4 separate regions of the Mus musculus genome follow, and all the other regions are reported to be linked to region 1. Evidence: microRNA targets listed by miRTarBase, many of them from high-throughput screens and not tested one by one. Region 1 holds a microRNA gene; each other region holds the end of a gene's coding sequence.

The links. Region 1 holds the annotated microRNA mmu-miR-449a-5p (UGGCAGUGUAUUGUUAGCUGGU, at 2,170-2,191, shown strand). A microRNA usually pairs through its seed, bases 2 to 8, with sites in the 3' UTR of a target mRNA and lowers its output. Matches are read on the target gene's strand: a 7mer-m8 pairs with bases 2 to 8, a 7mer-A1 pairs with bases 2 to 7 and ends in A, and an 8mer does both.
Region 2: the mRNA of Lef1 is a reported target of mmu-miR-449a-5p. The part of its 3' UTR that is shown has no 7-base or 8-base seed match.
Region 3: miRTarBase lists Ctsa as a target of mmu-miR-449a-5p. Seed matches in the 3' UTR shown: 7mer-m8 at 1,140-1,146.
Region 4: the mRNA of Myc is a reported target of mmu-miR-449a-5p. The part of its 3' UTR that is shown has no 7-base or 8-base seed match.

The regions. Positions count from the first base shown.
Region 1 is chr13:113,035,380-113,038,379 of GRCm38, forward strand. It overlaps Mir449a (microRNA 449a), which reads left to right and starts at 2,155; the gene lies at 2,155-2,245. Cdc20b (cell division cycle 20B) reads left to right here. Exons shown (of 12, transcript NM_001281487.1): 1 at 1-62; 2 at 335-397. Mir449c (microRNA 449c) reads left to right here and starts at 604; the gene lies at 604-712. Mir449b (microRNA 449b) reads left to right here and starts at 2,040; the gene lies at 2,040-2,119.
Region 2 is chr3:131,204,316-131,207,552 of GRCm38, forward strand. It overlaps Lef1 (lymphoid enhancer binding factor 1), which reads left to right. Exons shown (of 12, transcript NM_010703.4): 11 at 618-658. The coding sequence ends at 652. Among named protein-coding and RNA genes, the nearest start is that of Hadh, 66 kb to the right of the region's middle.
Region 3 is chr2:164,838,786-164,842,022 of GRCm38, reverse strand. Ctsa (cathepsin A) reads right to left here. Exons shown (of 15, transcript NM_008906.4): 14 at 3,074-3,178; 15 at 991-2,872. The coding sequence ends at 2,789. Pltp (phospholipid transfer protein) reads left to right here. Exons shown (of 16, transcript NM_011125.2): 13 at 1,486-1,528; 14 at 1,639-1,702; 15 at 1,833-1,909; 16 at 2,195-2,505. The coding sequence ends at 2,317. Among named protein-coding and RNA genes, the nearest start is that of Ctsa, 6.6 kb to the right of the region's middle.
Region 4 is chr15:61,989,383-61,992,619 of GRCm38, reverse strand. Myc (myelocytomatosis oncogene) reads right to left here. Exons shown (of 3, transcript NM_001177352.1): 3 at 2,259-3,237. The coding sequence ends at 2,712. Among named protein-coding and RNA genes, the nearest start is that of Myc, 5.7 kb to the right of the region's middle.

The DNA.
Region 1 (3,000 bases):
TGGAGTGGAAACTGCAACGCACCGCCCGGAGGAAGATCCGGACGGAAGAAGAGATGTTGTGGGTGCGTACCATCCTTTTCTTTCTTGACCCAACCCTCCCATGGGGCTTCTTGCAGAAGGTACGGTTTGTAATACCCAGTAAGGACCAAAAGATGCCATGAAATTCTACAGCCTAGTTTAAATTTTGAACGGTGTGAAATTTAAGTTCTGGAGATACCTGGTTGCTTTAGAAAGAATGAGTGAATCAGCAAACCCAGGATTCAAAACAATTCCCCACTCTCCGTGACGATTTTCCTAGAGTTTTCTCCCTTCTTATGTTAATCTATTTCCAAAGGAGAACATCATGCGGGTGCTCGCCAACGGCATGAAGCAGCAGCGAAATCAAGGTTCCCCCAAGGTGAGTTTTCTGGGCTTGCCCTTCTGTCTTCATTCTGATCTCGAGCAAATTAATTCTTGCTATAGAAGGCATTTGCAGGAATTATGGGAGAATTAATACAAATTAAAAACCTTTACAGAATCTGAAGACTTAAGAAATGGATTCTCACAACTGATGTAGCTACTTATACCTGCTTAGCGGGCGCTTCCCAGTGTCCGGCTCCACAGAGGATGAAGTGTGGGTGTGTCAGGCAGGCAGTGCATTGCTAGCTGGCTGTTAGAACTTTATCCCAACAGTTGCTAGCTGCACTACCCTCTGCTGCACTCAGAAGCATGCAAAGACGTGGAAATAGTGCCATCTGGTGGATAAGGAGGTGTCTTCAAGACAGCTACTAAAAGCTGGATCCAATATAGTATTTCTGCCCCTTAAAGCTCTAACCCAAAGCTTGCAGTTCTTTTTAAAAGAGTGTTCTTTTGAAACTCATTTTTATTACCTTGTGTTTATTTACCTGCACTTATATCTGTGCATCACGTGTGTGCGTGGTGTCCGCGGAGCTCAGAAGAGGGCTTCTGATCGCCTGGAACTGGAGTTTCAGGCTTTTGGGGGCCGCCCTGTTGGTGTTGAGAATCTAATCTGTGTTCTCTGGAGGAGCAGCCAGTGCTCTTTTCAGCCGCTGAGCCATCTCTCCAGCTCCTGTACTTTCTTTAATGGATGAAAAAGTTAAATCCTCATCTGACTCACATCTCTAGCACCACTTACTTCTCTTTACACCAAATAGCCCACATGCTTTTAAATTTAGATTATTAGCTAAAATCTCACCATTTGAATATTTTTCTAGATAACATACATTTTTCTATATTCAATCAGTGACGCTTGAAATCAAATATATAGCTGGCCTTTTAAAATGCAGTGACTAATGTCACCTATAGAGAAATAACATTTAAAAGCCTTTACATTGTGTCTTTAGTTATGTTTCCTGCCCAAATTATTTTATCTTCTAGATACTTTACTGCCTAATTCAATTGAACTTTTGTTAATTCATTTTTACTTTGCTAACATCTTTAACTTAACATTAAATTTGGAAAACCCAAGTATAAGAATACAGAGTTCTTAGTCAAGCACTTAATGCCAGCACTTGGGAGGCAGAGGCAGGTGGATCTCCCGGCTCCAGGCCAGCCTGGTCTACACAGCAGTTCCACATCAGCCAGGGCTACAAAAAAAAAAAAAAAAAAAAAAAAAAACACAAAAACAACCTGTCTAGAAAAAAATTAGCCAATCAACCCCCCACCCCCAAGGGGGAAAAACAAACAAAACATCAAAAACCACATTTAAAGTTCTTAAAAGTTTTTTTTTTTAAAACATGGGTATAGCTTGGTAATATAAATTTTGTTTCTTATAGTTTAGGAGACATTAAACAAGGTTTCTCTATAAATCCTCTTCAGTTACTAAGATTAGAGTTCTGGGGTTGGCAAGAAGGTTCAGTAAAGGCACTTACTGCCATGCTATCCCAGGAATTCACATGGTGGAAGGAGAAAACTGGCTCCCTCAGAGTTCCCTTGCTCTCCGTATCCACGCCACCACACTCCAGCAGCTCTGCAGCAGTGTCTTTCTGTTAGAAACTTAGCCTCAGCCACTCCACAGACTGTGAAAATCCGAACTTGCCAGACTCGGGTAGGCAGTGTTGTTAGCTGGCTGCGTTGGGTCAGGCCAGCAGCCACAGCTACCCTGCCACTTCCTTCTGGCTGGGTTCTTCTTGTTAATGAGGTGCGCTGTCTTGCCTGTGTGTGATGGCTTGGCAGTGTATTGTTAGCTGGTTGAGTATGTGAGCGGCACCAGCTAACATGCGACTGCTCTCCTATTGCACACACAATCACCACCAGCATGCATTTACAGCTCATGTATGTGCTTTGCCATGAAGAGGGGTACTATTATGATAACAGCTATTAGTGGCTTGGGGTGACACAAGGACATATTTATAGCAGTGAAAGTACTAACCATTGTTACTTTAAAAACTCAAGTAATATTTTCTGAGTCCTAGCTTGACATTATCAAAGCATTTATAAAGTTATGTGTTTGTTGTTTTAACACAAGATTTAGAATAAAATGGAAAGCCTTGTGTATTTGCCCAAGTTTCCAACTAAATCAGTTTCATGATAGAGTAGAGCAGGTCTCTCCAACTTTATGTATACACCAAGTGGAGGGAGAATTTGTGTTAACTTTCAAAATGACCCACACGTTAAAACATCTTCACTAGAAGTATCTAGACAATTTGGGATATCTTGGGGATGTGGTAGGGATGGGCTTATTTATTTGGGGAGACAACTCAGTTCTTCCATTTTGTATAAAATATTGCAAATATTTTTTACAATAATTGGAAGGACATGAGATCTAGTTTATAAAGAAAGAAGAAGAGCTGGCCATAAATATTATTTAAAATACTTCCTCATTCTTTGGAAGGCCGTTTGATTCACGGAACAGAGTCAGAGGTCATATGGTGACCTCAGGTGGACATCTGCAGGAAATCACCAGAACTCACTGTGGTGTACTGGTGACTACTAGAGACATAGAAGAGAAAAGAAAAAGACTGCACTCTTTAAGTTATTGGGCCAAAATCTCCTGATGAA
Region 2 (3,237 bases), not on the chromosome of region 1:
ACGGCCCTCTGTTGACGCGCCTGCTTCTTGCCGACTCCTTGTAAACAGTCCGCATCTTCCTAGACGCTGCTGCATTCTGTGACTGTCACATGTGATCCCTAACTCGGCTTTCTTCCTTTCCTGAGATGCCTTAACGTTTCAAAAAGACTTTTCTTTTCAGTGTGAATGTGCCTGTAGAGACTCCTTTCCCATCCCTGTGCCCCAGAGCCATAGTTACGAGGAGTGGTTGATTTTTTTTTTCTCCCTTCTTGTTGTCTGTCTTCTCTTTGCTTCTGCCTCTGCTGTTTGCACAGTCCTTAAGAATGCCACTTCTACGGTGACAGTACAACATGCTACCTTGCATTCCCTTGAGCATCTCTCATGTGTCTGGGGTTTTTAATACTAAAGGACAAGTGGGGCTTGTCTCACACTGATGGCAGGAGTCAGCGAGGGCCCATGTCGGTCCTGTTCCCTGTCCGTTAAAGGGCCACCACACGCACTGCACAACACACAGACAGGGCCGCCATGAGAACCCAAAGGGCAAAGCGAGCAGGTCTACATGGTGTTATAGCTACTACATATTTGGAATGTACAGAAACCTCTCCATAAACATTTCTTAAAGACACAATTTTCTGCAGGTACAGGTCCCAGAATGACAGCTGCCTACATCTGAAACATGGTAAGATCAACTCTCTCGGCCCCTGCTGCTGACTTAGCTCTTAACGAGGCGCTTGCTTGCGGATCTCCTCGCTCTCACCAGTTCCGCTCAGCATGGTTCCCAAAAAGAGGAAAAGGCCACCCAAGTCAGTCTAGTGCGGATGACCCAGTCGCTCGTGGGTTTTTACCCCAGCTGTGTGTTTCCGACGCAGTGTGCCTTCACGTCTATTATGCCTTTATTTTATATATATACATATTGCTATTTCTCTGTTCTCTTGCCCTCAATATTATTTTCGCAGCTATTTCTTACTGACCAGTGGAAAAAAATCAACCTTTAAAAAATGTATATATAGGAAGCAGCCTGACATCCCCCACCTGCAGTGGGGATGAGTCTGAGGGTCACCTTTGAACCCGTCTCTGTCCTGGTACATGGTAAAGACTCGGTTGAGATGATGTGTGGGCAGTGTGTTTGTAAGGAGGGAGATTTGTGGGTTTATCATTTTCTTTCTATTTTAAAATATCTTCTACTGAGTGTTTTCCTTTATGGGTAATCATTGCTAGACCTTACCAAAGGACCTGTAAGTCAAACCTGATTTGTTCATTTTTATGCTAAGTCTTTAATGTTGATCCACATGACCCAGGAAACTGGCTTCCTAGGTAAATTCTGGGTCTTAAGTTTGAATTGACAGGGTGTATCCATTCTCGACCACAGTTGCCAATGTATCTGCTGTGTTCTTTCTCTAGAACCCTGTGCAGAGTCACCCAGCCCTGCAGGGCTTCCTTTGGGTCCTCTTTACCTCTTGCCTTCCTCGACCGCCAGCCCCTAGTCCCTTACTGCATTGCTATTATTGTAGCTGTTAGGAATGTGTTATGGCCACAGATTTTACTTCTACAGTTTATCCATTTTGCTCTCGGAGGGATTTTTCCGAAACACCAATGAATGATGTCTCTTCTCTACTCAAGGCCAGCCAGTTCTTACTGCCTGAAGGGTACAGTCGCATCTCCTAGGTGAGATCTGCCACTGCCCTATCGTGTGTCTGTGCCTCGGGTCAGTTGTTCAAGGTTTCTTCTCACTTCCAAACTGACCCATGTGAGCTCTGTCCAGATAAAATTAGCAGTTGCACAAATAGATGGAGAGCACCACCTACGATGGTCCCTGTGCTTGGAAGGCCTGCTCTCTCTACTTACGAACACACCAACCTGGGCAGCATCCCTTAGAATGGCCTGCAGTACGGATGGATGCTCTGGGCCAAGCCAGGGAACCCCATCCCAGCTTGAGAATTTACTTAGGGTCCTGAACTTTCAAATGATGTTTCCCTATGGAAATCTCCCAGGGTACTGGCACCAAGTAGATTTAAATTTCCAGTCGACTACCTGGGCCCTCTAGTCAGCTTCTTAGTCTGGTCTCCTCATCTGGAATGCATAACTTGTCTTTAGCCAATAGGAACTCAGAAAGGCCCCTCCCTCCTCCCAGAACCCTGCTGCTTACTCTCTTGAGAAACTTTCTTTTCTTTTTCTTTTTCTTTTTCTTTTTCTTTCTTTTTTTTTTTTTTTTTTTTTTTTTTTTTTTGAGAAACTTTCTTGATCTTCATTCTGACTTACCAGGTTTCCAAATCCCCAGCTGGTACCACAGTTGCTCTATCCAAACCTAACCTCACTGATTTAGCCTAAGGCTCGATGGCTTCTTCCATGGACCACCTCTTGACATCAGTGGCATCACACCCAAACGTAACACAGTCACAGATGATGGCTACCTAACTGAGTGGCTACTAATAACGGTCTTCTGAGCCAGCCACCTAGGTTTGTTCTTTAGTTCACAGGGGATGATTCGGTTATAATCCCAGCCCCAGGATACATCTGGCTTCATAGATGAACAACCTAGAAAGAAGCTTGCATATACACACCTTGTATTGTTTCTGTTCGTTTCTTGGTTTCATCTCTTTAAGACAGGGTCTCATGTAGCACAGGCAGACCTCCAACTCACTTATGTAGCCAAGGTTGACCTTGAACTTTGATCCTCCTGCCTCCACCATCTGAGTGCTGGGATTACCGGCATGTACCACCACCCGTGGTTTGCTGGCACTGGAGACCACGCCTGTTTTATAAATGTGATCTTTTCATTGCTGATCGCTTAGGAATAGTTTACCCCACCTTTGCATGTCCAGCCATGACGGAGAAGGCCCTCGGAAGTACAGTGTGCCCAGGGCCAGCTCTCAGTCATGGACTAAATGCAGCTTTTGCTTCAACAGTTTTAGAGCTACCTATTTCGTGTGAAATGCACTGCAGTACTTAAGAGTTGGAACTTGATTTAATACCTTTCATGATTATATATGTAATCATGATTTCATATGTATGTATGTATATATTATATACTTGATATATTTGATATAAAAGCTGAGTTTGATACAAAATGTTTGATGTAAAATCTGCTTATTTTTTTGTCTTAAAATGCACTTCAGCTGCCTGTTTCTTTAATAAGTCACAGAAATCTTTGAGATTCTCGCCACTAATTTTTTTTTCCTGAAGGTTAAGGAGTCTTCTTTGAATATACTACAACAAAACAAAACCTTCCCCTGTCCCCCAATTCTCCTTGAGCCCCCA
Region 3 (3,237 bases), not on the chromosome of region 1:
GCGTCTGGAGATTAATGGCAGGATGTTGAGATTAAAGGTCTGTGCCACCTTGGCAGCTCTCAAATTTGTATGTGTGGGTATGTGTGTGTGCATGTAGGTGCAAAAGTAATGCCCTCTCCTGGAGTTCCAGGACGTCGTCAATTGTGTGTCATGGGTGCTGGTTCCCCCGAGAAGTATGAGCTCTTAGACACTGAACCATCCATCAACTTTCTCCTGTCCTCTTATTTGATAAGTGTGTGGTATGTGTGTGGAATGTGTGTATGCATGGTGTGTATGTGGTGTGGTGTGCGATGTGTGTGATGTATGCATGTGGTGTGTATGTGTGTGTGTGGTGTGGTGTGTAATATGTATATGTACGGGAGCCTGGAGAGATCAGAATGCTTCAGATACCCTGAAGCTGGAGTTATAAGCCATGTGAGCTGCCAGATGTGGGCACTGGGAACCGAATTCAGATCCGCTAGAAGAGCAGCAAGCCTCCTCCCCCCCCCCCCCTTTTTGTTTTGTTTTTCAAGACAGGATTTCTCTGTGTAGTCCTGACTGTCTTGGAACTTACTCTGTAGACCAGGCTGGCCTCGAACTCAGAAATCCGCCTGCCTCTGCCTCCCAAGTGCGTGTTCCACCACTGCCCAGCTAGCAGCAAGCCCTCTAAGCCATCTCTTCAGTATTGTGCCCCTCCTCAAACCCATTTTGAGACAAAAAAAAAAAAAAATCTCACTGGGGCTGTTTGCAAACTCAAAGAAAGCCACCTGCCTCTGCCTCCTGAGTGCTGGGATTAAAGAAATGGGCCAACACAGCTGGCAGGCTTTCCTTTTTGTAATTAACTCGTGTGTGTGAGCTTATGAACATATGCATTTATGTGTGAGGGCACTCACGTGTCACACAGTGCATTGATGGTCAAAGGTCAACCTGTCCAGTCTCCCCTCTACCATGTGTGCCCTAGGGATCAAACTCAAGCAGTCGGGCCCTTTACCCACCACACTGAGCCATTTTGCAGAGCCATTTTAATTCTTTTGAATAAGTTTGGTATCTGACAGAGAGTAAAGATTGTTGGAATTTCCTTAGATAAAACCATACTTATTTACCTAGCCGCAGAGCGTGGCACATAGGCATTCCTGACAAATGAAAAACAGCAGGCGCCGGGCAGTGGTGGCGCACGCCTTTAATTCCAGCACTCTGAGGCAGGCGGATTTCAGAGCTCCAGGCCAACCTGGTCTACAGAGTGAGTTCCAGGACAGCCAGGGCTACACAGAGAAGCCCTGTCTCAAAAAAAAAAAAAAAGACAAAAGAAAAAAAAAAAGAAAAGCAGTAGGCTTAAAGAAAGGGGGCTCCAGAGACCAAAGGCACTCAGGGATGCACACCTGGGAAATGGCAGCTACCTGAAGGATGATTGGATAGAACTGGGAAGGCTGTCACTTGCTGCCATCTTTTAGGTAGGGCCCAAGGAAAGGGTGTTCCCAGGTTTCACGGTGTATTTCTCTCCCACAGGTTTCAAATCTACTCAAATCAGTCTGCGCTGGAGTCTCTGGCGGTGAGTTGGGGATGGCAAAGGGTGGGTCCAGGCCTCGGGGCAAGTTGGCCGCTCACTCAAACCTGTATGCACTGTCTGTCGCCCCCCCCTGCCTTTTTTTTCCCCCTCAGCTGATCCCACTGCAGGCCCCACTGAAGACACTGCTGCAAATCGGAGTGATGCCTTTGCTGAACGGTAGGGACTGAGGGTGGGAGGATGGAGTGGGGACACGGACTAACAAAGGGGGGACGGCGGTGGATGGTGGACATGACGACACAGATGGACTGATGGACACCCAGGCTGAGCTTGCCTCTCTCATCCACAGAGCGTACCTGGCGTGGGGTGCAGATCCCCCTTCCTGAGGGTATCAACTTCGTGCGTGAGGTGGTGACCAACCACGCGGTAAGTACATTGTGGAAAGGAGGCCGTAGACCAGGGCATTCCTGTCCCTACAACACCCCAGTGCTTGTCTGTTTTCCCGAAACCCCTTTACACTAGTTGCTCCTTCACATATATATTATTTAAGTAGTAAAGATTTAACTTAGAAGCAGGGCCATGCTCCAGAGAACATACGCCACGCCGCAAAGCAGCTGGGGCCCCTGAGGGGATTTGCTCAAGAGTCTTGTGTTTGTTTGGAGGCTGTTTCCAAACAACTGAACCAGCCAGGCTCCCTGTCCCCTCCCGCAGGGCTTCGTCACTGTTGGGGCTGACCTCCACTTTGCCAAAGGGCTTCGAGAAGTGATTGACAAGAACCGTCCTGCAGACGTTGCGGCCTCCCATGTCCCCCCACCCTCTGCTGCAGCTGCCTGAGCCCATCACCCCACCTGGGTGGCTGGCATTCAGGAACCTAACTGAAGTCTTCTCTGCACCCCCTGCCAACCCCTTCCCATCTACAGTGTTAGTGGTCCCGGTGCCACAGAGAAGAGCCCAGTTGGAAGCTATACCCGATTTAATTCCAGAATTAGTCAACCATCAATTAGAATCCATCCACCCCCCTCCTTGGGTTTCTCTAGCTCTGTTGGGGTCCTGGGGTGGTCAGTTTTTATGCAGTCGGGGAGGTCAGGCCACCCCACGATGGCCGGAACAAAGTGCTCACTTGGTCCTAGGCTGTCTGTGACGCCCTGAGGCCCAGGCTGGGATGCACCAGGCTGTGAGAAGTCTGGGCAGTTTTAGTACAGGACTTGCCCCACGGGAGCATTAGCGGAGGACTCCTCTCTGCTGAGAGAGGCCGAGAGGGGCTGATCAGGTACTGAGGATTTCCATGGGTTGCAGCGGAAGCTATCAGTAAGGCTCTTTGTTCAGGAACCTCGAGAACATGGTAAAAGCAGCTCGAGGCTTGTCCGTGGGGACCATGTGTCCGGCACCCTGGGGAGCAAAGCTTTATGAGAGATCTGGATCCCCAACATGCATCACCCCTCACTTCCAGCCGCTTCCTTCTTCACCTCCTCACCCTGCAAGCTCGCCCAATGCATCAAGGGTGACCCAGAATCATCAGAGAGAGACGGGGAAGTCACACCACTCCCCCGCTCTGGCCCCGGCTGTCCCTCACTAGGCACAAAGTCCTACCTTGATGGTGAGGAAGGTGATGTGTGAACACTCCTTCACGAAACCAGCTACCTGTTCTCCGCTCTCCCCGTAGTCCACTAGCCAGGGCCGGCGCTGCACCTCCATCTGTCCCATCGGGAAAGACGATAGCCAGTGGCAACCCCCATCCTTGCTCAAAGCTGCTC
Region 4 (3,237 bases), not on the chromosome of region 1:
AGAAGACTCTACATACGTGTTCAAGCTTTGGATGACTCAAGCACTATCCTGGTATTGTGAAACTTTTGTTCAACTTAAAGTGTAATTGATTGCTTTTTAGTGTTGTCCCCGAATGATAGCATAAAGTCACACTTCCTCCTCACTCAGTTTATCCTGAAGAGCACCATCCCAGGGATCCTCTCGGGGAAACTGAGTTCCAGTGTCATGGGTGAACAACAGAAGAGACTAGCTAATTCTTGTATATCCCAGACCAAGCTGAAAGCTCCTCCCACTTCACCCCTCATCGTGATTGTTATCTATAAATTTGATTGCACAATGTTGCAGACCCCTGGGACTCCAGATTGGCTGGGAGAGCCTTCCTGTGTTATGGTCAAGATCAGCCTGACTTTCTGGAAGGAAGCTGGCCGATGTCCTGTTTTCAGACCATTCCCTGGCTTGGTAAAGCTGAGAAGTGCCCAGATAGGGAGCTGTGATACTTCGATTCCATCCCCACAGCCAAATCTGAATCTCTAAACTTGTTTCCTGATCATTTGGAACAGGAGTTGTTTTCCTAATGAGGAATGCTTTCCTCTATTCTTTGGGCTTGCCTGGACTGAGTGATTCAACCTAACACCTTCCCAGGTCTCAAGTGAGTCACCCCAGGGCTGCACTCCAGCCTAGGCTCACAAAGGGGAAAAAGAGGGAACTATTTAAGAGCACCCCCTGCTCCCCCCTTTTGCTAATCCTTTGAACTACTCAAAGTATTTCAAACTACTACTGGGGTTTGTGTTTTCTTTTGAATGTAGGATAGAGGGTGTAACAGTTTGAAGCTGAGGGTGAGTCTAAAAGAGCCAAAAATAAGATCAAAAACTAAATGTTAAACGCTTCAATAGATCATGGGGGGGGGGTGTCAAAGATAGTAATTACTTATTGGTTTATGAATGATGGTGAATTAAAGTCCCAAAGACACTCCAGGATGCTAGAGACCTTCTCTGAGACAATGGGGTCATTTAGGACATTTAGGGTACCTTTCTCCCTGGACTTTACCTACATGTTTCAGTTTCTGGTTTGGATTGTGGCTTTTCAGAGGCTTATAATTAATAAGATACCTGTTCCAAAAGGCTTTCTCATGGGCCATTGATGAGCGTGTGTCATGAGTGTGTGAAAGTGCTTGGGAGGAAGGCGAGCTTGCAATTTCTAAAATAATGACTCATGTAAAACAAGGTTTTATTTTATGATCTGACCAGTAGCACTTCTAAACTGGCTTCTTCCCAGGAGCAAGCAGGGATCTGATGTTAAAAACTAAGTGGGTAAGGTAGGAGTGAGCTATGTGCCTCTGAGTACACACAACACCCTCCACCCCAACCCCCCAATCCACAAACAAGGAGGGGAACTGAAGTCTACCAGTTCTTGAGTAGTGAAGCTTTAATGACTCCTGCCCTCTCCTTCGTAGCTAGGATCTTCCTCCTGGATGCACTAAGGATAAAGTGGTTTTGAATCCCCTGGGTGCATGGATGGGTTATTTCATGTCTGTTTCTACCTGTACTAGGTATAAAGAGATCATAGTACCTCTTTCGTGGCACTCTGTCAAAGCTCCTAATGGAGCCTGTAGCGCTCATTCTCAGACCCCTAACCAGCGGAAGGACACCCAACTAAGCAAGGCAGCAAGGCTTGTTTTCAAGACAGGGGCCCTGGGTTATTTTTGTTGTGTTCGTACCCATTAAGCTCTGCAACCCTCTGAACCTTTGTATGTCCTTGTTTGGAAAACCAGGATCAACTTAGCAGTGGTAATGCTCTTCCTCTGTTTTTTTCAGAAGCATAGGAGATACTGATGTGAAGGGACTATCACCTGGGAGCAAGAGGCAAGGAACAAACGGTGGTTCTCTCTCCCTCCCCTCACCAGTTCTTTGGCAGGGCAGAGTCCTTGGGTTGAGGTGAACCAGGGAATGGCTTCGGTTAACTGTAGGAGATTCTGCCATCTCTTCCTCCTGTATATTTAGCTGTTATCTTTAACCTCTTGCTTTTCCCTTCCCTGCATCTAGCCTTCTCACTTGCCTTTTGCCCATTCCTAACTAACAGCTCTGGTTTTTATTACTATCCACAGAAAGCATCCTGTAGACAACTTAGAAATCCTGAGGACCCCCAGCCCCATTTTAACAATGATAACCCCTTCCCATATTTGTAAACCTACCCTGTGAAAATGGTCAAATTCTTTTAATCTGTAATTGAGGAAAGGAAGTTTGAGGAAGAGGAAAAAGAAAACACAAGTTGGCCCAATTGTATTTTTTCCAATTATTTTATTTTTTTCTAAAAACAATAGAAAAAAATCAACTTTAAAAATGAAAATGTCTTTAAATAAAAAAAATTATGGTACATGTCTTAAAATCTTTTGTAACTGTTATAAACGTTTTATTAAAGTTATTTACATTTCAAGGCCCTATTTACATGGGAAAATTGGATAGATTTTAAGATTTTTTTAAAAAAACAATTAAATACAAATCTGTTAAAAGGAAAAAGAAAAAAGATGGGAAGCATAAAAAAAAGTTCTTTTATACTATTTAAGTTTGAGGCAGTTAAAATTATGGCTGAAGCTTACAGTCCCAAAGCCCCAGCCAAGGTTGTGAGGTTAGGCTTTGAGCATGCATTTTAATTCCAGCGCATCAGTTCTGTCAGAAGGAACCGTTCTCCTTACTCTCACGAGAGATTCCAGCTCCTCCTCGAGTTAGGTCAGTTTATGCACCAGAGTTTCGAAGCTGTTCGAGTTTGTGTTTCAACTGTTCTCGTCGTTTCCTCAATAAGTCCTTTTCAGAGGTGAGCTTGTGCTCGTCTGCTTGAATGGACAGGATGTAGGCGGTGGCTTTTTTGAGGATCACTACCTTGGGGGCCTTTTCGTTGTTTTCCAATTCAGGGATCTGGTCACGCAGGGCAAAAAAGCTGCGCTTCAGCTCGTTCCTCCTCTGACGTTCCAAGACGTTGTGTGTCCGCCTCTTGTCGTTTTCCTCCGTGTCTGAGGACCTGGGGCTGGAGCACTTGCGGTTGTTGCTGATCTGCTTCAGGACCCTGCCACTGTCCAACTTGGCCCTCTTGGCAGCTGGATAGTCCTTCCTTGTGGAGGGGGGTGCGGCGTAGTTGTGCTGGTGAGTGGAGACGTGGCACCTCTTGAGGACCAGTGGGCTGTGCGGAGGTTTGCTGTGGCCTCGGGATGGAGATGAGCCCGACTCCGACCTCTTGGCAGGGGTTTGCCTCTTCTCCACAGAC